Oreochromis niloticus: one gene and its partner. Each later gene encodes a partner of the first gene's protein in a complex. Links are inferred from orthologs where the notes say so. Each region holds a gene or a part of one and is shown on either strand. Other genes may lie near its edges.

What was found.
Region 2: the proteins of cnnm2b (region 1) and ADP-ribosylation factor-like protein 15 are in contact, whole or in part, in a crystal structure (PDB 8F6D), measured with the Homo sapiens proteins. The link is inferred for Oreochromis niloticus from reciprocal best matches to the Homo sapiens genes CNNM2 and ARL15. Residues at the interface, in NP_060119.3 of Homo sapiens: Asn490, Val492, Pro521, Leu522, His523, Phe524, Val525, Phe526, Thr529, Glu537, Lys542, Ser543, Gln549; in NP_061960.1 of Homo sapiens: Tyr92, Ser94, Arg95, Gln98, Gln128, His129, Pro130, Gln131, Cys133.

The regions. Positions count from the first base shown.
Region 1 is NC_031971.2:33,157,022-33,172,997, reverse strand, and holds the start of cnnm2b (metal transporter CNNM2), read right to left. Parts: upstream 5,595-15,976; 5' UTR 5,251-5,594; coding exon 3,765-5,250; intron 1-3,764. Other genes in the region: as3mt (arsenite methyltransferase), read right to left, coding at 7,323-7,430, 8,279-8,401, 8,488-8,627, 9,297-9,428, 9,506-9,587, 9,700-9,769, 9,861-9,997, 10,257-10,407 and 3 more; wbp1lb (WW domain binding protein 1-like b), read right to left, coding at 15,839-15,976.
Region 2 is NC_031977.2:26,524,675-26,540,106, reverse strand, and holds the start of ADP-ribosylation factor-like protein 15, read left to right. Parts: upstream 1-7,500; 5' UTR 7,501-7,910; coding exon 7,911-7,922; intron 7,923-15,432. Other genes in the region: snx18a (sorting nexin-18a), read right to left, coding at 126-1,641.

The DNA of each region.
Region 1 (15,976 bases):
GTTCAAGTCGTGCCAGTTCTCATGTAGGTTCTTTTACACTGGGGACTTTTACTCTAAAACAGTGAAGAATACAGTGTAGTCTGGGCTAAGAAACAGTGGTTGAATTGAAAAGACCACGGTGGAATGAACTTTTAGTCATTTAACAGCAGAAAAGGTTTGCAGATGAGTGCTGTGCTGTGAAAGCAGAATGTGCCAGGGAATCATTTCTGCATAATAACTTGTAGGCATGACTAAACAGTATGCACGTGAAATAATATATTTATCACCAGCACGCAGAAGAATAACCACATCAATCACACACGCAATTTGAAAATAGAAGATAAGACAAAGTGACTCTAAGTGCCCGTGCATCTGATGCTGTACGAGTGGCCCGGCTTCCCCAGAATCAGAAAGCAGAGTGGTGTAGAGGAACATGTGTGCATAACCTGATTTGAGCTCTCATGCCTACGGTAAATCCATTCCTCCTCTCAAAAAGCTTGGAACACTGCATGTGAAGGAGTGACTAACTTGCACTTTCAGGAATATCGCACATAACTGGAAGCCAGAAGGGTAGCTAAATTCTTGTTTTTGCCCCAGCTACTTGGTTTTGTCCCAAAAGGCACTCACTGACCCACTCATTAACGGGTAAACCTGCAGCTTGACAAGAAACCCCCAGATGACAGTAATTGTTGCAGTCGCAGATGGAGAGCAATTAATGAAGGGGTCAGAAGTTTCCAGAAGTGTGTCTGCCTGCATTAAACACCTCCTGTATGAATCTCACTGTAACCCTTGACCTAGGACAATGATGGAGCTGGGTAAAACATAAGCAGGGTCACACACATTGATTATGGTGGCTTTCAAGTAAAATGAACACTTCTGAGAATGTTTTAAAATCATAACGAAGAGTAGAATCAGCATCACAGTGAATTATGTAATGCTGCACAGTCTGAAATCCTCTCTTACAAATCCACAACTGTGAAGAGGAACCAACTTATGAAAAAAGTTCTGATCCAATGCAAAGCAGCACCATCTGCTCTAACACAGTCTCTACCGTGAGCAGCATGTTTTGGGACTGTTTCTTTTTTTTTTGTAACCGACTCCAAACGACTATGCAGCTCCGCAAGCGGCATCAAATTAATTAACAATGACTTACAATACAAAGCACTTTGAACTGAGTGTGTGCTGTGAACAGAGCCAGATTGACGGGAAACTTTGACCCCACAGCCCTCCCTACAGTAGTTGCTTATGACTTGCCTCCCTTGAATTCCCCTCTGGTGCACTGCCAGCAGCACAGACGCTATACCCTCCAGAGCTGAGTGTTTATGATTAAGTATGCAGGTGTAATGATGCGAAAACTTAATGTATTCGTCTTTTAGTGGGAGTATGTGAACAGAATTCACAAATTGCCACTAACTACTGCAAACAGATACACCCGGTTACCCATTTACAAACATATCTTAGATGAATGGAGCTGAATTATTTAAAGCATCATTATGCAACAAGACACTCTCTCTGCTAACAGGCAAAATACTTCTACAGAGAAAAACTTCACATTATTTTATTAATTGTCTCTCGTTTTTTGAGTATATCAAACCAAAGTATGTCACGGCTGCTTAGGCAGCAGCTTTTATTTAAACATAAACTCAGTATTAGGTATATAGAAAGTATTTGGATGCTGTGGACAGAAAATGAACCGATGCTCCGGGATATTTAATGAGGTGCATGTAGATGTTTTAAACTCCGAACAGATCTACAGCTTGTGCACAAATTGAGGAATGACTCCAAAGCAAACTAAGCATGAGTGGAAAAGTGGCACAGTGGTTATGACTATCGCCTCACAGCAAGAGGGTCCTGAGTTTGAGACTGTCAACTGCCTGGCATCTTTTTTGTTTGGTATGTGGATGTTGTCCCTGTGCCTGTGTGGTATCGCTCCATTCACATTAGGCTAATTAGTGATTCTAAATTGCCTGGAAGCATAAGCGGCTGTCCTTTTCTCTCTGTGATAGATGGGTGACCAGTCAAGGTTGTACCCCACCTCTTATCCCATGACAGCTGGGAAAAGCTCCAGCCCTGCATGCCCCTGAACTGGATAAGGAGTTAAGAAAGTGGATAGATAGAAAAATATCCATCTAATTAAAAAGAGCAGAAAACTGTTTGTTTCAGTTTATTGTTTTTTGTCAAAACAAATTGTGCAGGAGTGTAATTATTAATCACTAAATGTCCATCAGAGCATGGAACATTTTCCTTCCTTAAGAAGAAAATGTCACTACCTTACAAAAATAAACACTTCACACAAGTTTGAAATATGGTGACTAGTGAATCAACAACCCAATTATTTTCTTCAAAACAGTTTCCAGTTAATGTTCTGCAATATTACTTATCAGTGAAGTGACTTGTGGATTCAGCGCCATTGTGTAGCACACACATGCACAGGAACACAGGTAAACACAAACATAAAAACATTCACTAAATGGTTGTAAAACACAAAATCTTAGTCATCAGATGTCTACTACAATCACAACAGATATATGCAATAATAAAAAGAAATTGCAAATATTTGCTGATCTTAGTATTCTGATAATATAACAGGATGGTGAACTTTCTCTGTTTACTCGGAAAACTGGTGCATGTCCGTGACTAGTCAGCTGTGATGAAAATAAATAAACAAACACCCCCCTCCCCAAATAGTATATTATGTAATGCTAATTTGGCAGAGGAACTACACCTAATTTCTGGTAATGGAGCTTGCTGATTTGTTCTGTTTTTCCTCCCAATTAATCCTCTTAAAATAAAGCAAATATTCTAATAAGCGCACAACAGTCATGTTTTTTTCCCCACAGTTTTAAGAGTTCGTAAATCAGCTGCTGACAGGTGTGTCTGTGTATGCATCAGTCCAGTCCAGCACCAAATCTACAAACACTTTCCAGGAATAACTTAGTCAGAAGCAACAACAGTTAGGGGGTTGGCTATGCAAAACATCAGATAAACCGTGGGTGAGGTAAACATCTTTCTCAAACACCATGCGCATACAAATACACACAGCACATGGGGGGCTTGAGGGTGTTAGAGGCTGTTATTCATTATCCACACGACTGCATTCCAGGATTGGACAAAAAAAAAAGAGTTATCGCCACCATCACTCTGAAGCAAGCGCATGAGAGGCAGACAGGGATTTAAGCAGGTTCTCAAACAAGATGCCCCCACCTGATAACCTCAGCACTGCCGTTGCACTATTCCCACATGTCCTAATGCATTTACAAATGAGAGAGAGGGAGAGATGAAAGGAAGGGGAAAGTGTGAAAAAGGTTGAATAGGAGGAGGGCAAGGCATGAGGAGGAAAAGCAGGAGGAGAGAGAGAGTGTGAACATTAACACTTAATGGAAGTGATGGAGAATGATAAGGACACCTGCTTCTCCGCTTTACAGGAAGTGACCTGTGAAGATCTGGCAACTACACCTGTGGCAGATTCAGTGTTGTCTGAGGGGAAAAGAACCTTTGCTGCTATCCTCCCCCATCTCTTTTCCCTCCAGTACAAGAAATTTATTGAGGAATTCCTTCTTTTTATTGCTCAATATCTGATTTTAGACATTTGACCTATAGATACACCACATGCACTCAGTGTTGAAAGGTCAAAACTGTGACTCCTTGCATCATAAACTATTACATAACTCATGTATCTACCTTGCCTTATCCAACAAAGAGGGTGGTCATGTGAAAGACCAGCCTAGAACAGACATCAACCTTTAACACATTCCAGGTGTCAAAGGTTGATGCAAAACTCTTACCTTTTTTAAACTCCTCCAGCATTGCGTCAAGCTTGGTGTCATTGAACACAAAATGCAACGGGTGGCTGTAAAACTTTGTGATGGTTTTGAGCGGAGTGCAATCATCCGGGTCCACGAAGGCCAGGTCCTTGACGAAGAGCAGATCCACTATATTGGACCTCTCGCCCTCGAAAACGGGGATGCGCGTGTAGCCGCTCTTCATGATCTCGGACATGGTATTGAAGTCCAGCGTTGCATCCCCAGGAATCATGAAGCAATCCCTCAGCGGCGTCATCACGTCCTCTACAGTCTTAGTCCTGAGCTCCAGCGCGCCCTGGATGATGTTCAGCTCCTCTTTCACCAGATCGTTGTAGGGGTCCGTAACGCGCAGCATCTCCAGAAGCTTCTCTCTGTTGTACACGGTTCCTATCTCCTGTCCGAGCAGGTAGTCCAACAGCTTACTGACTGGGTAGGACGCAGGGAAGGTAAGCAGCATGAAGAACTTGGTGAGGAATATGGTGTTGGCTCCCACAGCGAGGCCGTGCCTGGAGCAGATGGCCTGTGGCACGATTTCCCCAAAAATGACTATACCGATGGTGGACATGACAACAGCAATCAAGCCCGAACCGGCGATATCATCCAGCAAGATGGTTAGCGTGGTGTTCACTAACACGTTCCCGAGCAGAAGAGAGCACAGCAAATAATTCCCTTGGCTCCTGACCGGCTCTATTTTTTTGGCGTAATTCTTCTCCCTTTCCGTGCCGCAGTTCTGGACTATCTGGAGCTCCATGGGGTCCAGAGCCATGAGCCCCAGGTTCAGCCCGCTGAACATACCGGACAGGCAAAGCAACATGGAGATGAAGATGACCTGGAGCCAGAAAGGCAGCAGAAACTTTTTCTCCTCCACCACTATCACTTTGGTGTCATCCCCATCGTGGTAGATCCAGGTGTTCTCCGTCCGCGGGTCGTGCATCCCGGCCACGGCTGGTGTCGAGGTGGCGATGCAAAGGTAATACGTTTTACTCCTCTCCGTCTTTCGCAGAGGTTTGACCTCAATTTCAACTATACCGGATGTCTTTCGATTCAGGATGATGTAGGGCAATATCATTATATCCGAAGTCCTAAAACCACAGGGATGCAAGCCGGACGAGTCCTCCTGGCTCTGGTTATCCCCCGAGGAGCTGTCAATGCTCCCAACCGCCCGGCTCCGCTCATGTTCCGTGAAAGCAATTTTGGACCAGGTCTCGTTGTTGATGTTCTGCCCGTACACTCTTAATTTTACCCGAGAGCGCTCACTCACCCGCAGGTAGCCCTTATCCATGAAGGAAATGTCGTCCGTGTCCTCCAGTCGGAGCCCTATGATGACGGTCTCCTCGGACCCTTCCTTGCCACTTGTCGGGGTGACACAGCAGCCAGTGACAGTTAAGAAAATCATCGCCAAAGCTCGGACCCGGTTAAGTGACGCCATTTTTGCAGCGGTGGGTGCTTGGGATAACGGTTCTGCCATATTGATAACAACTGGCAACCAACCTCCTGAATGAAAAGGGCTTTTAAAAATCAGAGCCAGTCGGAGTCCGCCTTCATCTCCGCCCAGGGTTGCCGTGACTTGTGCATCAGGACCTGCTCGTTCCCACTACGTGTCCGACACTGATGACTCGCGAGCGCAGGCTTACGGGCCAACTCGTGCCTCCCCTGGTGTCCCCGATACAGGCGACGGCGACGACCAATCGGGAGGTTCCGCTGGCCGGGAGGCGGGGCGTCCGCAGCCTCCTTGGCGAATCAAATTCCAAAACAAGTGCACCTCATGTTAGGAGACAGGACTTTACTCGTGACTTCTTAAAACATATCATGCTAGAAAAGACAACCACAATAAGCAGTTTAAATGTCAAAAAAAGGCATGTGCAAAGATTAAAGGTTAACTAAAATAAATACTACAACATGTTTTATCTATATAGAGACTATCATAGGTTGTGACAAGTTAATTTGGTTTTTTGCTATCGCATTGCATCATCCTGCATGCTGAAACTCCGAAGCACTATCTATATCATGTCTTATTTTAATGATAGGTATTACAGGGGATAGTAATATGTTCATAGACTGCCTAACTTAAAGAGGTTAAAGTTGTCAAAACCAGAAAACACACACATACATGTACGTCATTGAGATGTGTAATACAAAAAACAATTTCTTTAACACAATTACTTCTTATTGGCCTATTTATCTTTTCCTCCTTTAAACTTAAAATGAAACTAAAATGAGAGATCCTGACCACCATGGCTTGAACTGGTGCCCTTAATCACAGCTTTTCCCAAATACAAATGTGCATTTGTACCTTTGGAAATAATGCACTACATCATAGGAGCAAAGATGAAAATAGAAGAGTCATTTCGTTAATTATTATTTATTGTGTTTTATCAGAAATAACACATAACCATCACAATAACGGGAGATAATTTGTACACTTTGGTTGAAGCACATCTTAAAGCCAGTCTGCAAAATAATTAAGCACCGATTTACTAAAACACAGGTTTTAAGGTAAGTAAAAAGTATTGTGTGAATAAACAATGTCAGTTTTATGGGTAAGAAAATAATTAGACTAAGTAGGCATATGACAAAATGAGGCACAAATGAAGAAGGTGCTCTTCTTAATACTGCTCATGGTTGTTAAAAGGTTTTAAATTTGTTGCATTTTTATTTAACCTTACTATAAAGTTTTCCTTTTATCTATACCATATAATTATGTTAATGAATTGTTACCATATTGAATCCTTTCATAAAATATTAACTGGGAGCACTTGCAGAACCCTTAAATCCCTCAAAGTGATATTGTTATCTTGTTTGCGCAAGATAATTTATAGCCTAGGTACTCAACATGTGGCCTGTGGGCCAGTGTCAGACTTCAAAAATGTTATGTGGCTTCTAATCACCCTTGATTCAACAACAGCTCAGTCAAAACCATTGTATAGTACCAGTGAAAACTGGAAGCAGGGAGCATATCTCTCCAATTTTAACTCTTTTTTTGACATTATGGCAAAATAAACCACCCTAACCTTAATTTAAAAACATTAAAAAAAAAAATAGTTGGTGCAATTTAACAATCACCTCACTAATGGTTAGCAGCAGATACCAACATGAACCACCACAATCTGATAAGACACAAAGTCAAACTAAAATTGTTTGATGTGAGATTTTTTTTCCTATGGCCCTGAATCATATGCTGGCTCCTTAAATTGGCTCATATGCACTTTAAGCAACTTCAAATACAAACACTTTGATTACACAATAAAACATTTTAAAGTCATCAGCAGAACTCATGTCCTTCACATAGTCATGCAGTATGTGAAGCAAATGATGGCTTTGTGTAATTGCAATGCAGGGTGTTCCAAAGTGAAACTAAAACTGGATTAGCTGAGTTGTCTCCATTATACACTGGGTAGGTGAAGTTGTTTGAGCAACCAGTATCAACCAGTAACATGATTATGTTTAATTAAAATGAATTAATTAATGGAAGTTCACCAAACATGTAGGCATTATTGGTAGGCAGGAAGCTGAGCCTGTTTCTTTGTGCTCTTCCCACCATCACTTGCAGCAGCCAGCAGACTGTGTGCTGCAGCATCCCCCAGTGGCTGATGCAGGGCCTTGCACACCCAACATCAGGGCCAGCTCAAAAGGGTCCTCAATGCCAGCCTGTATGAATAATTGAGCCAAGCAGAAGCATTAAAAGAACAAGCACCCAGTTACATGTATGTATCATGTAATATTTGTGTTTCATCCCAAATCACTGTAAGCAAGGTCAAAAAATTGAAGAAGTAAATCCAGGTACTATTATGGTATATTACAACAGAACACTGGCTCTTCTAGATGAAGTCTTTTTATGGCCCTGTGCTTCTTTTATCAGTTGCTGGTTGTTCATTAAGTCACAATTTCAAAGCAGCTGTTCTTTCCATGAATAAGACCAAAGGCTTTTTTATTACTATTATCAGCACACTGCTGTAGTGATTAGAGAAAACTCTTTCAGACAAGACTTCAATTCAGGGGGCAGTTCAAAATGTTAATAATGAGGTGGATTTTGATAAGCCTTTACCATTTTAATTTACTTCTATTTCCAATATCAGAAGAGAAAAAATCTTTAATGAGTGGTTAACAAGTTAGAGTACTCATTTTAAAAAAAATGTAAAGCGGTGCTGTTAGAGGTGTATGTGCATAAAATGATTGTAAGCCCTGATAAAATGGTATTCTATTAGCTGAGTGTAGAACATTCCTTCTTGTTCAAGGTTCCCCAGCATGACTCCACAGTCTGGTTATGAGTCCAAGACAGCTGCTTGACCTTGCGCTTGTGCATGTGTGTATGTATGTTTGAGGGGTACGTGAACGTCCAAGAATGTACAGCATGCAGAAGCACATGCATGTGTGTTTGTGAGCGCAGTTTGACAGAGGCGCTCTGCCCTCTGGGCGTGTCACACAAATTGATACCAGAAACACACTGACCCCTAATGTGTAAAAGAGACATCCAAGAATTTAAACACAACACTGACCTTAGGTTTGACTCCACAGGGCCCAGTGGGGCCCCCCAGTGGCTGAAAAGTGAAGTCCTCTGCAAATCTGGAATGTGTCAGTATGTTGGCCACCTCTCCATCCACCTCCACAACTTCATTGGCCTACAAAATACATCCAAATCTGAAATCATTTGCATAGTTTAAGTGAGCAGAAAGCATTACGTTCTTCTAATTCAGAATATACAGACCTTGAAGGTGTACTGACAGTCAAACTGGAAACTATCCTCTGCCCCTGTCATGCCCCCATTATATATGACTTTGCAGTTCTTGGTGTTCCCTTTGGGGACCTTAAACAAGCGGTATGTGGCAGAAACAAACTTGAAGTTGCCTGTATTAAACACACCAGATTGAAATTAAAAAATAAATAAATAAATTTCAGGTCATACACGAAGGTTAGCAGCTCTCAAAATCTAAAATAACTTGGAATCATGTAATGTTACATTAGTTGTAACTATAGCTACATAAATATAGGTTAGGAGAAAACCAGCAGTGACATTATAGTGCAGGCTAACTTAGTACTGTTTATTTGTAGGGTTAATCTATAAAATGTTCTTCTTTAAGTAGTTGTGCAAAAGGATTCTCTGATAGCATCATTCATGTCGATTGTGCCTGTGTGTACAACTGACATGAATGTCACTGGATATTTACTCATTTCCGGAGCTCTGTAAACTCCAAAGATGGCTGTTTGGGAAAATCCCAGTAGATCAGCAATTTCTGAAATAATCATACCAGCTTATCTGGCACTAACAACCACGCCACATTCAAAGTTACCTAAATGACCTTTTTCCCCCCATTCTGATACTTGGTTTGAACTTCAGCAGGTCATCATGACCATGTCGACATGCCTATGTGCACCGAGCTGTGTTCATGTGATTTGCTGACTAGATATTTGCATTAAAAAGCAGCTGAACAGATGTACCTAACAAAGTGGCTGTTGAGTGTAATTCTGTATCAAGCAAATAATGCAAAAGTCAAGCAAGTAAAAAAGCTGTCAAACCAAGAATGTCCTGCAGTTCCTTGTTGTCAACAGTGATGACACTGGCCGTAACCAGCCGTGGGGGGCTGAAGCCCACTTTTTCAGCCAATTGCAGGAGATCCTTCCACCAGAGTGCTCCAGCAAGGCACTCACCTGCAAAGATAAAACCGACTGTGATATTCTGGTGGGTGCTTGTCAATTTATGGCAGTAGAATATTAATTAGACGCACCCCATAACACTTTGTGATTTTTAATTTCCTCTGTTAGTCTTCCATTGCTGTAAATGTCACTGAAGTACAGCTCACCACCATCCTAATGAGGAAAAATGAGAAAGTGTATGTAAATGTGTAAATATTTTCTTTGCTCTCATAGCTTTATGATTGAAGATTTAATAACAATATTAAAAAAATGAGAAGCAGTGTACCTTAAGTACTTTGTAAGCTTCAGTCAGTACCATCCTCTTGTCTGGAGAAAGATTCACTACACAGTTGGAGCTAAGCAAAAGGAGATGATGTTCGAAACTGTTATTCTATGATTATATTAAGTTAGAACTGCACACAAATAAGGATTAGTAAGACACCTTACATGATAACATCGAACGAGTCATTTTCCAGACCTGCCTCGGTCAAGGCTTCGATGTAGCCTTGGACAAAATTTATATTTGGCTTCTTGTAACCAAACTCTTTCATGTGATGGTCCACATAGGTCCTGGCCAACTCAAGCTGGAATTTAAAAAAAAAGGCATTTATCAGAATTTATCACTATCACTCACTAGGTCCAAAAATCTTTGGTTGTATTTAAGCCATGCATGCATATAAAACAGAGTTTTGTCTTTACAAATTAAGAAGATGAAAAGTTTTCACTTATAAGATTTTACCAGCCTTCAATAAAGTTTTGGAGTTACATTCAATATCATTTAGCCATCAACTGGGATCCACTGATTAATCATAAGGCCAGTACAGCGATACAAATGTTCAATACCTGGCCGTCAGTCATGTCAATACCAGTGACATGGCCCTTCTCACCCACAAGCTGACTCAACATATAGCAGTCCCTCCCACTTCCACTGCCCAAGTCTAGTATCCTGCAGCCCTCTAAGCATTCTGGCACAACCAAACCACAGCCATAGTACCTGTGGAAGACAAAAACATATCAGGTTCACTGATTTTGAAGTGTGACTAGAAGAACAGAGAGGTCAGCAACCCACTAACCTAGCAGTGATTTCAGGGTGTACTTTCTTTAGTGCCTGGCGAATGAAGTCAGGGGTGGGCTGCACTGGAGCCACGCAGGCATTGGTCTTTAGGTCTGAGGTTTGCTTCAGCCTCTTGCCATAATAATCCTGTTTTGACAAAGAAACCTTGGTAACAGTAGCCCCTCATTATGAAGCAGGTTTGTATAATTCAGCAAAGGGGAGTTAAGAAAAGATAAAGGTCTAAAAATGTGAGACTAATACGAAAACCCTCAGTGTATTTACTAGTTACAAAACGTTTGCTTCAGACTATTTATTTATAAATAAACAGTTTGTTTGCTCCCGTTGTCTCAGGAACATTAATAAAATCCTTCAGGACCCATCTCACCATGATGATGCACTGTTTGAACATCTACCTTCAGGCAGACGTTTCAGAACCATAAAGATATGACCTAATAGACTAAGGAACTTAGTCTGTTAAGCTTTTATCCCTCAGCCATCAACATGCTGAACACTACTAAATTATGGACATCCAGATTCAATACAACTTACATAAACAATGTTTACATTGTTACAAGATGATCTCATGTTTACAATTGCAGTTACCCTTGGTATTTAAGTTAACACCAGCAAATTGGGAGAAGCACAATATGGAAACAATTGTGTTGTTGTTGTTGTTGTTGTTGTTTGTTTTATATATCCCTTGTGTTTTCCTTGGGTCATTTTTGTCCCCTGAGGACCACAGGTGTATGGAAATCGGGAGGACAATTTGTTTAGTATGTAAAAGATGGATGAAGGCACTGTGATGTCATCCAGTGGTCTTTGGACTGTTTGTTTTATGGAGATAAATGTTTAATCTCAGTTTGCTGAGATTAAACATTTATCTCCCTCATAATGTCCTCCCGATTTCCATACACCTGTGGTCCTCAGGGACAAAAATGACCCAAAGACAACACAAGGGACATATATATATATATTCTAATTTTTATTCTCCTTTTGCACTGAGATAATTGCTATAATGGCAATACAGACTGTGATTCTGATGTACAGTATGTCAATGTCTGCATTTTTAAGGGTGCACAAAGGATAGGCTGAGAAAAACTGTTTGCATGACACACAAGGTTTTACTGTCTGACTTTGAGGCTGCACTGGAAACTGACCATACAAGTAATGGAACAAAACTGCTGGACAGACACGTTAATAAGCACAACTACGGCTAACATGGATTTATTTTTAAATGACAGATGATCTGTACAAACAGATCATTTACTCATCAGGGGGAAGATCCTGTTTAATTCTGTTTTAACAGATACATAAATACTGCAAAGAGGCTAACAACACTGTCAGGAGCAGTACCACTACCGACTGGTGTTATTTTACCTTCACGTCCACGTGAATGGTGCTATCAGAGAATGCCTTTGGACACGTACTTAAAAAAAGAAAAAAGAAAATATGAGTTACACATTAGCCCTCCAAATACACGTTAGTAAGTTAGCCTACGCTAAGTCACTGCTAGTTCACTGGTGACTTAGAGTGATGTAGCTATAGTTACAACTAAGGTCACGTAACAAGATTACAAGTATTTTAGTCTTTAACTTGACACCTTATGACTACCGTTTCTTTAAAAATAACCGTGTACGTATCATTGATCATAACAACATTAAAGGTGAAGATTCAACCTGCCACACGTCACTCGCTGAATTCAGAACAGCTACAGCTTGAAACTGGATAAAGCACAAGGATTAGGCTGTTTTTACCTCTTTCCAGGGTCCATGGTCACATTACGTGCGCTTTCCAAGTTCGCTTTAAAGAGGAAAATCTCAGTGTGCTGTCAAGTTTTCTTACTTTGGACCAATGACTGTAGCTTTGAACCAACACTGTGCGTTTCACTTCCTGTTTTACCAGCACGCCCCCTACCTGCCTCGCTGGCTAACGTCACAGCAGCAATGTGTTGCTGTATTAACTAAATGCATTTAATTTAATTTAATAGAAACAAGGCTATCAATTTCACGGGGATTTCCAAGAGGAAGCATGGGGCACTCCCACCAATCATTCAGCTGAATAATAATACATAAATTATTAAAACTGGGTGTTACAGAATATAATAATATAATATTAGATTTATAATATTGCTTTCTTGTTAAATGGTAAGGTGCCTTCCAAATGTGGTCAGTGATGGTTTATCAGTTCACAATAAAAACAGCTGTCCACCTGCAAGTAAGCAGTTTTTCATTATATGTGGCAAAAGTGCCACAGCTTCAAACTGGAAGATACACAGCATCATAGGTGCATAGCCCTTTCTGGAAGGCTACTGAAAGTCAAATTCTGACAAAGTTAGACAACCTTTTGGGAAAATAGTAAGGAGTGCTTGTGATATTGTGCAAAATCCCAGTTACATGTGTATGGGATTTTGCTTAGCCTTGTGACAGCCTGGTGACATCTCCAGGATGGACCCTGCCTTTCACCCAATGACAGCTGGGATGAAATCCAATCAGCTAGTCAGTGGCTGATTAGCGGCATTTGTTAGGATCCTTAACCTCTGCAATAACATCACTCACTCAGTAGAACCACTCTGAAATTAAGTCACGGACACAGTGATCGACTACAATTAAGCATTTTTATTGAACATACATCCATCTTAGTTGTCATAATAAATGGCTTATGTCAAGAAGTGCAAAACCACACACACTTATGAAGAAAGAAAAATGTCTTTGGCGAGATGCCCCTGATCTTGTTAACAAATTATCTACTGTACTGTTAGTCAAACGTACCCTTCACACAACTTCAGTTTGAGTCTCAGAAGAACTTTAGTCTTTCTCAACAAAAAATCAATAATACCCACAAGAAGAAAAAAAAAAAGAATCTGTCCATAATGATAAAGCTAATGATTTCATAAAAACGATTAAAGCAACTATTTGGTTCATGAACATGTTACAGAATGTTGTACATGATTTGTAATATAAAGTGGTTTTGACATTTTATACAGTTCCGTTATTTTTTCAAAGAATCAGACAATATGAAAAATAGCTCATCTTTCGACTACATGTACCACAATTACACAATGACATCTTCTAGCTTGCGGAAAGCATTAACGGATAAAGCACTTTCGAGTGTGTTCGGGTTTTGATGGGCAAAAGTCAATCAGCTTAACTGTTTATGCAGAAAGTTACTTTCCTTTTGTGCTGGAAATTCTGGGAAACAATTTTCTCCTAGAGCCGTAAAACTAACGGCTGAAACATTTGTGCTTTGCAGAATTGCAATTTGTGCATCTTTTCAGCTACTCCAAGTAGATTAATTGCATGGCATAATGGTGTAGTCTCATCAGTTGTGGCCACTTTAAGAGATTAGACACAGATTTCTTTGTCGAGGTTTATTTGTGTTTATCATCTATGGCATGCCACTAGAAGCTCAGGCTAGATTGTCAGCATTAAAAACTCCTAAAATAATTTGAACTGACAACTATATTTTTTCCCCTCTACCACATGGTCTTTGTTTTGTAACAGCAGTGCAGCATTATACATATTGTACCATGCTGTACCATAATAGTCTCATAAAGATCGTGTTGTGCAATCGATTGTTTTTAAAATATTCTGATATTAATAACAACCAATTACTTATTACCTTATGCTTATTTCTAATAAGAAACTAATCTAATCTGCCCACTAATCTTTTTTTTTTTTTTGACTGCTTATCCAACTATGGTTACAGGGTTACTGGAGCCTGTCCCATCAGACATTATGTACATCCTGGACAGGTCTCCAAACTCACACTTGGGGCCAGTTCAGAAATGTAAAGTTACCAAAGATGGAAACTGAAGCACCACACAAGCTCAGCAAGAACATGCAAACAGAGAAAGGCAGGTTCGAACTGCTCTGTCGGGTTAAATACTTAGTTAAAAGTCATTTGTGTGCAAACTGTTTGCTTCACAACCAAAACCTTTATTAAATCCTCATTTTAATACAAACTTATATGGGATGAATGTCTAAATGAAGAAAACATATATACATTAAAAGTAACATTTCCTTTCTTGATTGGACAGTACAAATGTAGATGACTGGATATATACACCCTGGTTTAAAAAAAAAAAAAAAAAAAAAAAAAAAAAAAAAAAAAGAAGTCACTTTTCCAGTTGACTAAAATTAGCCTTAATGTGCCCTCCAATGAAACATTATAAATGTTTCATGTATGAATAGCAAAGCTGAACAATGGCAAAGCTGTGTTGATATGAAAATTTAATACAAATAGTGTTAAAAGTTATGTTTTTTCGCTGTCAAGCTGGTGAAGGTCCATTAAAGTGACTTTAAAATGTGAGGTCTGATGTTGCCCATCTCACGTGTAATCTCTATGAAGCTTAACATTCGGTTCATGTTTTTGGTACCTGCTTTCTCCGGGTCTCTCAACAATATGGAAGCTTATCATTGTCCATCAAATTTCTGCATTTTTAAGGGGGTAGGCACATACTACAAACATTCAACAAATCAATTTTAAAAATGATTGTATACAAAAGAAATCTGCTGCATTCCCTACTAACAATTCAGAGGTCCATTTCTCACACATTACAACAAAAAGGTAAGAAGGTAATCATCTACTGCTAATTTAAGACTAGATTTAAACAACCTTAGCATCTGCAAGATAAATACCATTTGTGCAAAAGAGGAACTGTTCTCATGAAGATTTGTTAATGCACTAACACTTCCCTATCACTAGTGAGACTTACATAGCAACAAAAACAGACAAAAGGCAGCATGGTTTTGAACTGCTGAAAAAGCACTTTAGAAACATGAGTCTAACAGGACATCCCACAAAGTCTTGTTCTGACATCCCTGTACAATATCAGCTTACATAAACACATACTTTGGGTAAATCCACATCATACTTGTCCAAAAATGTTCCTGCTGTGTGTTGTTTTATTACATAGTTCACTACCTGCAGAGAACAAACAGCTTTGCAGAATTGTTGCAAGCACCTGGCAAAGAGAGCTACATTCATCCTAGGCAGTGAACGTTCTGTTCTGACAGCACAACTTCAGCCATCATATCCATGACTGTGTCAGTAGCTTTTGTTGTATGAGAAGGGCAAAAGAAGGACTCTGTGTGCATAGTCTGAAGTCCCAATTGCCACAGGATATTAAAGGACCTTACAAACAAAATATAACCCAAAATACACAGGTTAAGGCCACTGTTCCACACAGGAGCGTGCTTTTTCAACCTCTGGATCTCAGACAATTTTTAGCAGAGATCCTACTTGCTCCCTCACTCGTTTTTATCTAAGATGCACACATTCATAAAAAAGACTTAGAAAGCAAACACTTCCTGAAGTACAAAAACAGTGTAGTGCTCTCCTTCCCTCGTGACAAAGGTGTGTTAACTTTGCTTCAGCCCTGTGGCTCAGTGCTGGTGCTGTGTGCTGGTCCTTCCTGCTCATTGATGGTGTGGAGGAGGAGGCACAAAGGAGGGTTTAGGGAGCCACTACTTATCTGGTGAGCAGGCAGGGAACTTCCTGTTGGCCCACA
Region 2 (15,432 bases), on another chromosome or scaffold:
TAATTATAATCATCATCATAATTCCCTTCTGATGTCTCAAGAATCCAAAGACGTAAAGAAAAATAGCCGACTACTGAGGCTCCTCAGAGGGGACAAATCTAGTAAATGTGTATGACTGTGGTTACCTTTCTGGACATGGATGATGTCTGGGTAGTTTGCCAGATGTCCTTGGTAAAGAGCTAACAAATCCATGATCGGGTCGAGATCCTTGTTGGGCTGCTCGGCGAAATATTCTCCGATGGTTTCGAATGTGTCCCCGGTGAAGGAGATTGCCTGGTTGAGTCCTGCAGAATACACCTGCTGGTCGATTTCAAAGGCTTGACTGAGGACCTTAAATGACATCCCTACTTTTTGATACTCCTTCTTGAAGCCACTGATCTGCTTTCGCGCAAACTCACTGACGGTGGCATTGAGCTGCAAGGTGCTGTCGTCCATTCTTTTAGTAAAAGTCTTGAATCCATCTATTTTGCTCTCCACCTCCTGGAAGTCTAACGGAACTGGCGGAGGGCTGATGGTGAGGAAAAAGTTGGCTCCGACCATCTCGTCCTTCTCTGCCTTCCTCTTCCCCTGCTTCCAGGCCTTCTCGTCTGCGCTGTTGCACGTGAGGAAGTGCTGGAAAACATCACACCTGGCCAGGACAGGATGACTGGTCATGTGGTTCATCCACCATATGAGGCCTTTCCTCCTCTTGGAGATAAAATCCTCCTCAAAGCGCCCCGTGGCCTGCTTCTCTGGAATGTGTGGCACCGAGATTACGGGAAACTTCTCCACTAGCCGAGCATACAGCCAGTCAAAGTGCTTATACCTCCTGTTCACCGGGTTCTGTGTGTGGGTGGGTGTCAGCTTATAGGAAATGTAGCTTTTCATGCCCTTGAACTTGGTCTGTTTAGTGGGGTCATCAATTGCACAGTTGAATGGGTAAGGGTTCTCTTGCCACTCTGGACCATAATTACCCATCACCACGCAGATTTTATCCCCATCCTTCACAAAGCCGGACGCCTCTCCGAGCACAAACGCCTCTCCCCCTGACTTCACAAAGGTCGAGAACCTGTTCAGGTTCCTGCTCACTGTAGCAGAGCTCTTGGCTTGCTGAGCGTTACCTCGTGGCACTGATGATGTCGTCACTCTGTAAGTGGACGGTCCATTCCCTTCATAGTCATGGTACCGTCCTCCTACAGTACCTGGCTCATCTGCCACAGTAGAGCTGTCATCCCAATCATCATCCCAGTCATCATCGCTGCCTTGGCTGGGCTGCTGGTAGCCGTGCTGCTGCTGCTGCTGCTGTAGCGGTTGTGAGAAAGCGGGGAAACCAGGAGGAGATGGTTTAGAAAAGTTCTCAACTTTAGGTTTATAAGAGCCGTCAAAACCTCCGGATGGGATGTTGGCGTATCTAAAGTCCGGGTTAGCGTCCCCAGATGTGTTGCAGCTGTTGTTGTTGACAGTGGTGGAGGCGGCATCGTTCCGCAGGATCTCCACGTACGAAGCGGGGAACAGTCCCCTTTCCCCTTTGCTGTTCACCCCTTCGAACCAGCCCTCGATGTCCTTTTCGCTGTACACAGTCAGGATCTCATTCTCCTTCACGGACACCTCTCCGGGGTTTTCAGAGTTGAAGTCGTACAGCGCTCTGGCTCTGAGCGCCATGATTCACCACAGCTGGAAGGAGAGCAGGACAGCGGGCTCACTTACGGCTGGCTGGCCGGGACAGAGGAAGGCACAGCGGGCAGCCGGGCTAGCTCGGTCAGCCCAACAGTAACTACTCTCAAAACTCCGAGCACAAACTTCTACAACGGCGTCTTCAAGCAGATGCTCTCAGAGTGGTCCTCTGTGTTGGCAAAAAAGCACTGGGATGTTTGTAATCCTGCAGCGTGCGAACCTGAATTAATGTTTTTTCTCCCCTCTCCACAACAACACTAATCTGTGCTCCAGCAGTCACCCTCCGATCCCTGTCGTACGCTTCTGTCTTCACAAGCTGCGCAGCAACCGCACGTCAACCAGGCTGAATAATCGAGGGCGGAGCAACAGCACGCCGCGATCCGCCCAGACGACACAAATCAACCGGCCGTGAGCGCTGCGAGTTTCTCTAGACTCGATGACTGATTGATTCCAATCGGAAACAAACCGATGCGCCTGCGGGGAGCAACGGCAGAGACATAACAGCTGATAAGATGATGCCTCAGCACATGATTTAAGGCTTAAAGTATGTGCTGAGGTCACAGTCAGGAGTTTTACATATTGTGTTAGTGAATAAGAGGCGTTTCATACAGTTATAACGCTTTAAATGCAGTCTACAAATTCCAGGTAATGTAATGTCTATTAAAGGCATCAAATCCCAGAGCTACTTCACTGCATAATTACTTCAAATTAAGATTATACATAATGATTAACCTGTGAAAACTTTAACCAGGTACATTTTTTTTTAAAGGCCTGACTGTTGATGATGTTGACTCTAGTTACTAATTAACAGTGCAGCGCAAGGGCACGAAGAAGAAAGGGGTCATTCTCCTGCATCAATTTACATTTCATAAAAACTTTGATCCATTTCTGTATATGAAAACACAGCAGGAGTCTTAGTTTTTCATGTTTTTATGGCATACAGCTTAAGCTGTATCTTATTGTCAGTGATTGTAAATACAAATTGTTCCCAGCAAAACTATAAGGTTTACTTGTTTCTCAAAATTTTGAGGAATTAACTTCACTGTCATTAATAGTAGCTACAATCGAGAACAAACCGAGGAGTCATTGAATTTTTCCAGTGCTTAAAATTTTACAGACTTATCAAAGCAAATGGCAAATATTTACACACAACAAGACTCGCTAGTCTGAGATAAGACCGCAAATGATGTCCGGATATCAGATTAGAAGTCGGGATCGGATTTCGGTGGTTTCTCAGTCAAAAGTAATGCCAGCAAAATACTGATATCATCCTGACTTTGTTCGCATTCTAAACACTCATACTTTCAGTTAAAGGCTGAATGGGGAAACTACTTATGTGTATTTTAAGTCAGTTTAATGTCTAACTTATAAGTTAATAAACTACAAAAAATACAATAAGTCTTTGGATAATTTAACCGAGACATAAATGGTAAAATTTCCTCTGTTTTCTCCACTGATAACCCTGCATGCTTCAACATAGCCACCTATAAAGGACACATAGACAATAAGTGTGGGAGAGACTAAACAGGACTCCATTATCAATTATTCTGATGATTAATAACGCGATTATTGAACTTATATTTCTAGTATCAGAAAATTGTTACAGGTGGTCGCTCCACTTTCCAGCCCAAATACTGTTTATCGATTCAAAATTGAATAAAAGCTGAAAAGCTTTGTTTAAATGGTGTTACATACAGCAGGTAAGCATTTCCTTGGGAAAGAGGTGCACTGCACAAGGACGTCCTTAAATCCACTTTACTTGGTAGACACTGCCCCCAAGTGGCTTTTTCTTGTTTTGTTTCTCAGTGAAAGCTTGTGAATTCTTTACATTACCCAAAGTGCTATTTGTACAAATAACATCAATGAAAACGACTAAACATCGGGGGGGTTCTTAATAATAAGTGGCAAAAATAAGGGAATGTTTTTTAAAGTGTGCATTTGTGTCACAACTCAGTCACTTTTTAATTCACTCAACATGAAATGAAAGGAATACAATTTTAGTGAATGGCCTTATAATAAAACAAATTATAGAGGTTTTTGTAGTTTAAGGTACAGTAAGTTAATCATACGCCCTGGTTTATGTGGGACTACACAGCATTTTTATCACTTGCTCTTCTTTCCCACATTTTGACTCTGTGCCTCATATTTGGACTGCCTCTGCAGGACACTTTTCTAAAGTCTGACAGTTACCCAAAGCATGTGAAGAAAGCAGGAAAAGATTTTTTAAATTACATTCAAGTGAAAGATATCATGTCTGATGTTATATCCATCAAAACAGTCACCCAATCCACAAGCTTTGCAGATGCTGATGAATATGATGGCATTTACCAGAAAGAAAATAAAATGCCAGCATTTACTTTTTCACCTTTTCACTGAAAACACAACATCCAGATGAACCAAATCAGCGTTTGGTTCATCTGGCACAGAGTTTTCTTGCCTTTTTCTAGAATGTTTTTAAAATTTTGAGAAAAGAGATGGATGCATGCATGCATGGGTCGATAAGAAAATATGGTGTGAACTGACAGTACATGTCTGTCATAAGTGGCTAAAAATCACTAAAATTGACACATAAGCCTCACATAAGGTATGGAAATCTAATACCCTCCCCAGTTTGTTGTATTTTTATTTTAAAATGAGAACTCAAAACTCGGACTTGTTCCATATTGTCCTTCACAAGCAGTGCTTGTTCAACATTTAGATTTTTGGTCACTCTGAGCTCAGGTAGTAGAGTAAGTCTGCTTTGAGCCATGTAAGGTTTGTGATTCTGGGCTTCTCTCCTGGATGTGGATATGGATAGGTGTCCTTGGAAGCCCTGAAGGTCTTTACTTCTGGTGCTGTGTTATCTCAACCACTATATACCTACAGGCCACCAGGGGTCTCTCCACTGACATTTGCGTGAGCCAGGATTCCAGAAAAAAAGAACATTAGTAGACACGTATACGTTTACACGTGTTTGAAATTCTCTGCAGATGAGATCAAAAGCAATGTTTTCCTTTGGACTCTTCTTACCACTTTTCCACAACTTACAGACTTGTCCACGGGACATCCATTTCACCTTACTTTACTGACTTCAGGGAGGGTTCCTTAATAGCACATCACATTAAATATTGAAGAAGGATGTGGTCTCCAGAGATATAAATAACTACAGTATTCAGCTTCCATCATATAAGCAGACTTTTAATTTACATTGATATAACATAACTGCATTGCGTGAGCTGTAATCGTGCTTTGCTCTAGATAGTTCTTACTACTTTTGCCCACGGATAGTTTTCTTTGCAGTCTTTTGGGGGAAGGTGATGAGATGAAACCATATTTGCATAGTTCTGGAGGGTGCCATAGTGGTAGCTGAGGCTTCTTGATCTTAAGTTCGATTTCCTTTGCGTGAAAGCTGTTATGCACCTGCATATGCATTCTTTCTTCTAACCACCTTCTTCGGATTAATAGCCACGTTTAGGAACCAGTCTTTCACTCCGATGTATGCTTATCATGTGATCTCTTCTCATTCATTATGCATAGTGTGCTATATTATGACAGAGTTTGTTTTAGTCTGCTCGAAAGCTCGATAACATTGTAGAAAACTGCAGCTGAAGCTGAAAGATGTGTTAGATCTGCGTGAACACCAGTAATCTGGTTGAATGTAAATCAAGGGCGTAGATTTGGCATGGACGGAAGGGACATGTCCCCACCAATATCCAGCGATTATTGAATTGTCCCCACAAATAATTTGATCTCTTCGAGTAAAGAAAAACAAACCCGATAGAAAGAGAGAAAAAAAACAACGATTTGTCAACGTCTCATTCACCCAGCTGTGCAGAAAGATTTAAATTACGTTCGCTACTGGAGTCCTACCTCATGTGACAAATATGGCCAATGTGATTGGCTGTGCCTTTCAGGGAGCTCTGTTTAGTTTTAGCAGCGGCAAGCCTGCGCTGCGAGGACCTGCAAGGAGGAGAGGAGGATGGCAGCAAAAAGGAAGAACCTGGATATAAGAAAGTATTTTTCAAAGAAACCTGTAAGTCACTTAAAGTCAAGCTCACTCATAAAATGTGTCCGTCATAATAACGTTACAGGCTATGCCCGGCTTTGGCCCACATCAGTCTAAAATTGTATGTAACCATGAATAACGTGTTTTGGAAACTAACTGCACAGCAGGCAGCACTATTAGTTATCTCAGTCTCCCAGAGTAGCATTTCTAATTTTGATTGAAAGTGTCAGAGAAAACGGCAGCCTCGAGCAAGCCAGGATATTAGTTTACAGAGGCTGTTAAAATTATATCTAATGTTAAAATGTTGGTGACACAGTAATTTCATCCTAATGGTACTGACATATTCATAGGGTTGATTTTTGAGACAATATATCATGAGGTAGTCATGATTTTGCAAATATTCCACCTTGTAGTGCAGTTTGCACAAATTGTTTTAAAAATGCACTCACCCTACAAACATTACTGATGAGTCAAGATCTGCACAAATTGACAGAAACACTGAAGCAGCTGCACATTTTATTCTTATTGTCATGGATGTCCTATTTGTCAGGTGACAGAAGAACCAACACAAAGCTCAGAGAGCAATGGCGATACAAGATCACAGGTGAAATTGGATGATGACTTGGTGGTTCATTACTGTATTTGAAGCACATGTGTGACTGCATGTATTTGGAATGTCTCACTGTTATTTATCAGGTGACCGAGGCAGCTCTGCCATGTTGTAGCTCGGACAGAGGTGAAGAGGCGAGGTCACAGGTGACTGACTGATGATTTGGTGCTATAGATTAACTAGTATTTATTATCATGACAATTGTTAGGCTGCTGATGTAAATTGATTCATTAGTGTACATTTGACAAAGAATCTGAATTGACAAGTCTCACTTTTTATATGGCACGAATCAATGTGTTATTTTATCAAGTGGCAATATGTCCTAGTGCAGTCAGAAGGGAAGAGCCAGGGCCAAAGGTGAGGCACATCAAGCACATAATAATAATTTTGTGGTAATCTTAGATGAGTAGTTTTATGGACAAAAACCACCAGGTCATTCAGTGTTCCCTTAGTGCTAATGTATCAGAGATGTTGGTGTACTATAACTGAAGTAATGTTCTTAAGTCCTTAAAGTCATATTCTTTTATTGTCATGACTGTATTTGAAGCTGTTTTTATTTTTGTATGATACCTGATTTATATGGAATATGGCTGAAGTAAACTAAAGTCTAAAATACTTAGTCATTTGTTTAATAGTAATTTAACATTTTATAATTCACATATAAAACTATGAATTGTAATTTTAAATGGTTTAAAAGCATGTAGAATAGCATATGTAGACAAGTATATCTCTCCATCTTTTTATCAAGAAGCAAAGACAAAAAGGGGGGGGGGGGGGGAACAGGGCAGGGTTCGGTGGTTGAATCATCCGTCCCCACCAATGCCAAAACCAAATCTACGCCCTTGATGTAAATAAGTACAGGATGTTTTTTTATTCCAGTTGACATGACATTAATATTCCATGCTCGATGCTGCCAGAATTGTCCTCTTCCTTTGAAAAGGACATGTGAGCCAAATGTTTAATGTTACATAATGATTTAATAATCTATATCTCTCTGTATAGTCCATAGTCCTTACTTTGGCGTGTAAGGACTAATCTGTAACGCAGATTAGGATGTGAGAAAATCTATTCATCTTCAGTGTCAGGGGATTATTTACTATTAAATCATATGATTCGGAGTGAAAACATAAACAGAAATCATCTTTGAAATCTACTTAAAATTAAATAATAATAAAGAAACAAAAGGCCAACTTAGCGACATTCAGCCTCACAGTGAAAATAGACGACCCATGTGTTTGGTCATGTGACCGCGTTGCGTGCGCAAAACGACGTGCGTGACGTAGCGTGGAGGCTTCGTAACAGTTTCCTCAACCAAACACTCAACTGATATTGTGTGATAAAAACTGGAAGTCCGCCGGTGAAAGAAGGAGCTGTTTGTTGAGAAATACACTCACCAACCCGGCGACCCTCGTCTTCTGAAACAACCGGAGACTCTACTGCACTGAAAGTTGGTTCAGTGGCGAAGAAGGCGGCTACATTCTGCCTGTAAACCCTCCGAAAAGGGCTGGTTTTTATTTTGCTTTGACTGTAGAAAGGCGGGGGATACGAAGCGACCTACGGTGAAAATCCGTAACATTTTCGACTAACTGAAGAAAACAGAAAACAAAAAACGGAATTACTACAGAGCCAGTTTGTGCTGCGGTGACTGGTCAGCGATAGTACATGGATTATCTGGTAAGTACGTGAAATGAAATGCCGTGGGGTTCCTTGTGCCAGTAAGAGACCGCTTTGAACGTTTGTTTTCCTGGCAGCTGGGCTCCCAATGAAGCTGTTGGTGTCACGCAGATGTGTGACCTTTTAACAACCAGGTGTTTATTACTATTAACTAATTTTGTGTCTAACTATAGGCGTGGTGACATGTGTTGTTTTATGCTAATGTCAGGTTTCTGTTGTAGCCTCTAGGTTTTGCCTGGTAGCTTCTTTCTAGCTGTTCGACTTAAACCCCAGTCACATGTAAAACAACAAGTCTAGCCATCTAGCGACACTCTTCAGGTGTTTGTAATGTGCCACGAAGCTGGCGTGCTCCACAAAACTCGCTCCTTCTGGGGATAAAGCAGCACTGTGTTGGAGTTGGAGTCAAGCTGTCACTCGAACTGACAGTTTGTCACTGCACTGGGATGAGAAATTAGTCCCCCTGCATACTTTTAATATCTGTGACTAAAAACAAAAAGAAGAGATTTATTTCAATCCAGACTAGTGCACCAGCTTTAAGCCGTGAGATTATGTTTTTTGGGTCTTTGCCCACATTGTAGGAATGGGATGGGTGCTGTTGAAACAGTGCAACAATGGAGAGGAAGCTGTAACTGAAGGCTTTCCCTGGGAATTTATGAAGCCGGAGGAAAAAGTGTACACAAACAATGTGCTGTCATCTCACATGGGGGACATGACAGTGTGAAATGCAAAGGAACTTGCCCACCCAGTGTTATCAGCTTGTTTATAGTGGGCCTCCCTAGATGTGACCGAAGAGGAACTTCGAACTTTGGCTTCGCTGGGACATTTCTTGAGCAAAGATGACAAAGTCCTGTTCAGCAGCTGCCACCAGAACAGCTGTACTGTTAATGTCTACCTTGCTTGTGGCTTCTGTGACACACTTGTAGTTTACTTGGGTTATACTGTAAACTCTGTTAGATCGTAATGGAAAGTTCTTGGTATCAAAGGGTGAAGGTACAGCTGTCAAAAATAGCAACTGTGTGTCATGAAATTAATGTAATCTGGCTTGCCTTAGCCTCCTTTGTTTCTCTGATCTAAGGGTTTTTTTCTGCAAATAAGCATTTTTTTGTAGGTGCTGTTTAATGTACTAAAGCTTAAAATACACTTTTTAAAAAAAATCAAATGTGCAGACTCCTCTAAAGTCAGGTAACACAGACTCCTTGCCTCAGTTATATGAGGACCAGTCATTCTTGTATGTGTAGTAATCCCAGCAAAATGACCATTTTGAGCCAACAAAAACCCAGCAGGTGCTTCATAGACATGACAGCATTTACAGTGATTTCAGATCATTTTGTGACAACTGCACGAAAAACAGTCTGCCATATATTTCCTCATCATAAAGCACAAAGTAAAATTACCCCTATGTACATATTGACAGGAATGTAAACACTTTCCAGCTTACGTGCTTGAAGGATTTAAGATTTTATGTGAAAAACAGTTTTGTGCAGAAAGCACAGCTGTAACTGTGGGCTGTTGGAGCTGAGTGCTTGGCTGTCCTCTGAGGTCAGGCACTCAATAGGCGCAGGGCCTCCTTTCCTGCTGTGCAACACTGGAGACCTGGCACAAGCCTAGACCAAAACTTCATCTCTTTTGCTTTCTTATATTAATTTGAACGTGTTGCTAAACTTTTAATAAGTTCTTCTAGTCTTGCTTCCTGTTCGGGCTGTTTGGTAAGGTTTTACATCAGGTTTTGTGTACAGCTTTAGCACAAATAGGAATGGAAGCTGACAGTTACTGCACATTGCTGGGTAATAACTGTGGTTTGAGCTTTGACAGTAGTTGAGATCTGGTGTATTCAGTTGGGAGCTGGAGCACGTTGAAGAGGCTGTGCTTCTGCAAGGTCAGCGTTGTTTTAAAAAAAGACCATACAGACCTACTGCATCCACACAGGAATTCGGTGCTGGTTGTTGCCATGACACAGTCTTACCATGATGCACTTGTACTGTTTGGCAATGTCTTTGTATTGATTGTACAGCATATATCTTTAATTACTTAAAAATTGCACAAGTTGGAGTTTATTTTGGATTTACTCAAATTCAAACATGTTTAAAAAGTATACATGCACTCTCAAATAAATACGTATCCCCACTAATATTTGGTTAAATGTCCCTTAGCAAGTTGTACCTTAATCAGATGCTTTTGGGAGCCATCAACAAGCTTGTGGCATAATTCTGGATGTATATTTAATCACTCTTCTTGGCACATTCGATAGAGTTCATTAAAATCGGTTGGTTTCCTGGCACAGACCTGAATTTTACATGTAGTCTACAAATTTTCAATAGTAGTGAGGCTGGGGCATTGGCGAGGTCAATCCAGAAACCTAATGCTAGCCTACTTTAACCATTCTAAAACAAGTTTTGATGTGTGTTTGGAACACTCAGTTATGTCCAGTTTTGCTGAAGTTGGAAAAATTTGGAGGTAGACCTTATTTATTGTTTTATCCACTTTGTGCAATGTACCTGCCAGTACTGCTGGCAGCAAAACAGCCCCAGAGCATGTTGCTACGACCACTATATATGTGAATATGTATAATTTTGATCCTTTGTGTATTGGAAAAAAGTTCTGCACACAATTCTTGTTTTTCAAAGTTATGAAATGTTTGCTTTACACTCATATTAGCCTAGCCCCCCCCCCCCCAAAAAAAATAAAAAATTAAAGTACATAATTAATATCCCAACATTACCGTGATATTCATTCCCACGATGAGCGTGTGGAAAGTTTTGACCACAGCTGTCTGTGAAAACACAAACAAGGCAGTACTGTTAGTTGGCTAATTTCTATAGCTCACACAAGAACATTTAGGGTTATTATTAATGTTATTCTAGCAGACATGACCTTTTTAAATAGGAATTTGCTTATTAGACTGTCAGGCTTTATGTATTATTCATATAAGAAATATTTTATCCCAAAAGTTGGGAAATTGCTATGTTACATCTAGGGATGCAACGATACCAATTTTTTCAAACCGATCCGATACCGATACTTGGATCTGAGTACTTGCCGATACCGAGTACAAAAACCGATACTTCTACCACACACAAGTTAAACTTAACCAGTAGTAAAGAAACGACCCCACACAACTCTTTAACACAAACGAAACGTTTACTGAACGTAAGGGCAGAGACAAATACTGTACAACACATCCCTTTTTTAAACTCAAATGATATTCCAATTCCTTAACCAAATGAAATACACTGTATAAATGACATAATTCCCTTTCAAATTATATTAAACAACCCAACTTATGTTATCACCTTTTGGTAAGTGACTCACTAATATACACTCCAAAACACGTTATATAAATCCACTAAACATACAATATTCACACATGGGCCCCACACACACTCACATTCACACTTGTTGCAGGCCTGTTTGTTGCTCACGCCGGACGATGGAGAAAAATCCTCTTCTCCCCAGTAAGAGCACAAAAGTCTGACTTACAGTTCAGCTGATCGGTAGGTCGCCGTTCACCAGTCCCACACTAAATCCACTCCCTGCGGACCCGATGCTGTCTCTGCTACAGCGCGTTAGCGAGTCACTGTCCAGCTCTCCGACAGTCCATAGCGGCTGCCTCCAAGGCGCAGCCAAGCAGTCCGGGCTAGCCTGTAGCCTCGGCGGTCGTAGCTGGAAACACAGCACGGTGGTGCGACCATTGAAACAAAAAGTCACTTCACCCACACTCTGTTGTGAAGCTCTCACACGGTCAGCTTTCTAGTCACACACTCTTTTGTGCTAGTTAACCTCAGTAAAACTAGCCGAGTCTCTCACTTTGGTTCAGCTAACCTCGTGCATCTCCCCATGCAAGGTCCCGTTTTATGCTACCTTCACAGGCCTCCAGAAAATTAGAACTCTGAAAAATATTTTAACTCCCTTCAGAGTTACATACCATAAAATAATACTTTTATGATTAACGTAACAGTTTGATTGCTCTAATTACCTGTATTTACCTTGCGACATATTACAGGGCAAATTATATTCAGGGTAGAGTTACATCACATAACATCAACTGTGAACACCTTATGTTACCGTGGCGTTTAAGTCCATGGGAATTATGAGTATCGGTTCATGGTATCGGTTAACTTTTACGAGTACGAGTACGCACACATTTTACAGTATCGGCACCGATACCCGATACCAGTATCGGTATCGGTGCATCCCTAGTTACATCAGCCAGCACATTAAATACAACTTTTAACAACAAAGCTCAAATAAAGTATATTGGCTCAATAAAATAAATGTATAACAAGGCAAAGTAGCTCAAAAAAGTAAAAAGGGTTTAATGAAAAAAACTCTAAATATAACAGACTAGGGAATAATACAGAAAAATCAAAATATGTGGTATGAGGTAAGAATTATTTTTCTGTATTTGTCCTTGTGACAGCGGGTCTGAGAGAGTGCTCATTCGTCTCATTTATGGGTGTGGTGCGATTTACAGCTTACACATTTTCCCTCAATCTTACACAATATTTGTCTTTTGTGATGACGTATTTACTCCTGTACACGAATGACTAAACCCTCATGGACTGACCTTCTGGTGAAAACTTTGCTATGTACTTTACAAAGACAGATCTGTAATGTTGTAATAAATATTGACATTGTTTATTGTCAAGCAACCAGCACTTTAAAAAAAATTTAAGTTATGCAAAGACTCCATGACAGTGACTGCCAGGCATTGACCTCAAGCCATGTGGTAACAATGGGATAAGAGAGCCTGAACTGCTGATAACATGATTCACACATTTACTCATGTGGCTCATATTCAGGAAGAAATCCATAAGAGAAACATTAAAAAAAATAGCTTTGTTGCAAGAAATGTAAAACCCAATGTTTAATCTTTTCATATATGTAATGTTGTTAATTTTACGTTGTTGAGCTGATATGATTTTGACACAATTGGATATAAAAAAAAAAAAAAAATCAAAAATCTGTAAATTAATTGTGAGCGTTTGTGATGGTTGTCGTTAAACAGTTGTTGATTACCATCCTTATCAAATGGAAAGCCTTGATGCTTGAGTCATACAGTCCCAATCAAAAGTTTAAGATCACTTGAAAAATGGCAAAAAAGTCATATTTTGCATGTTTGGGTTAAAAACGTTCCAAGTAGTTTCAATGTGAAACAAGAAGAAATGGGAGTGAGAAAAACGTTTTTTTGAGCATGCAGATTATTGAAAACAATGCTTGAACTGAAAAAAGGCTGTTTTACAGCCTTCAAAAGTTTAAGACCACATGCCTTTAAGGCCAAATTTGTGCAAAAATGTGGATTCATTGTCATTTTCTGTCAGGTAGTCACACTGTCATGACGTTCTGATGGCAAAGGCGAAGAAAGTTCCCTTTTTGAATGTGGTTGGGTTGTTAAACTGCATAAGCGGGGGTATTTCGCTGCGTGCCATCCGTGCTGAGGTGGGACGCAGTAAGATAGTCATTTTTATTTTATTTTTTTTGTTTAAATGATCCTGAAGGTTATGGAACAAAAAAAGTCAAGTGGAAGACACCCCAAAATTTTACCAGCACTGAGCCAGAGGATGCAATTAGCTATCTGTCAAGACACTGGACGACCCTCGACCCAAATTAAGCCCGTTACTGGTGCCAATTGCAGCCCCATAACCGTTCAAGGTTCAAGGTTTATTATTTGTCACATGCATAGTTATACAGGTATAACACACAGTGAAATGTAACCGTCAGACGGCATCTGAGACTGAAGGGCTTCAAAAACAAAACGTCTTCAACAGCTTCGTCTCCTTGAACGCCACAGAACTGACTGTTTGGACTTTGCAAGAGAACACCAAACATGGGACATTGAAAGGTGGAAGAAGGTTTTATTCTCTGATGAGAACATTTTCTTTTACCTTGATGGCCCTGATGGTTTCCTATGCTACTAGCACAACAAGCAGATCCCAGGTGAGATGTTTTCTACGCGGCACAGTGGAGGGGGTGCCATATTGGTGGGGTGCTTTTTCCTTCAGTGGAACAATGGAGCTTCAGGAGGTGCAGGGGCATCAAACCAAACACCTGCTGGCTATGTCCAGATGTTAAAGAGAGCATCCATCATGACTGAGGGCCCTCGTCTGTGTGGTAATGACTGAGTTTTTCAACAGGACAACTCTACAGTACACAATGCCCGCAGGACAAGGGACTTCTTCCAGGAGAATAACATCACTCTTTTGGACCATCCTGCATGTTCCCATGATCTAAATTCAAAGAACTTTTGGGGATAGATGGCAAGGGAAGTTTTCAAAAAGGGACAACAGACAGACAGATGCCTTTTGTGTGGCCGTCTTCACCACATGGAGAAATGTTCCCACTCAACTCATGGAAATGCTTGCATCAAGCATGCCCCAACGAATTTTTGAAGTGATCAACAATAACAGTGGAGCTACTCATTACTGAGTTCATGTTCTGAACTTTGATTTCTGTTTTGTTTTGTCTTTTTTGGGGGGTTGGGGGGTTACGGGTTTTTTGGAGGTGTGGTCTTAAACGGCCTGTTTCAGTTTAAGCGTTGTTTTCAATAAACTGCATGCTCAAAAAAGGTTTTGTCTTCTACTCCCATTTGTTATTGCTGCATGTCAAAGCTCTACTTGCAACCTTGTTCCAAAATATGTTGTGTGTTTATGATTTTTTGTTTGTCCCCCCTTTTTGAGCTTTGGTTTTTACCATAATTAGAAGGGCACACAAACTAAAACTTAAGGCCTTAGTAGTAGTATTTGCAGTTTGTAAACTACTTATGAGATAGGAGGCACAGTGGCATGGAAAAGTTTCTTTTAATATGAATACATAACCTATAAAAGATGACTTCATGGAATAACCTTTGTCTTTTACAATCTCAAAATAAAAAAAGTTAAGGTTTGGGCACCCTGCACTTGAACTGGCAAGTCTCATGTAGCTTGAAAAGAGTTTTTGTAAATCAGCTAAGAAGCTCTCTGTTTGGGCAAAAATCCATTTAAAAACAATCTTCATGGAAAAGACTTTTTGTGAAACCTTCAGGCTATCTTAGATGCACTCCTCTTTAGAGGCCTGTCTATATATTTCTGATAATATTTAGGTCAGGGGACTGTGGGGGCCATGACAAAACTTTAAGCCGCTTATGATGTGTTTAAGATCATTATCCTGCTTTATAAAACACACTGTTGTGGTGTTTGCTTCCGTAGGTAGTTGGTATTTAACTGAATACATTCTTCCAAATACCAGTAAAACATTGTCTGTGCTACTAGCTGCAACACAAGCTTAAACTGTAATTGACTGTAAACTCTCTCTCTAATCTCATCCTTAAAAGTTGAAGAAGTGTTCTTATTTCAGCCACTAAATTCTATTTTAACTTCATCAGTGCACAGGAATTACTTCCTGGATGCATCAGTTTTGTGTAAATGTTAATTTCCACCCTTTGATGCTTAATTTTGTAGTGATATGCCTTCTACTTAATGGGTCTACATGACGTTATATATAATATAAAGTCATGTATACCAGTCATGTATAATAT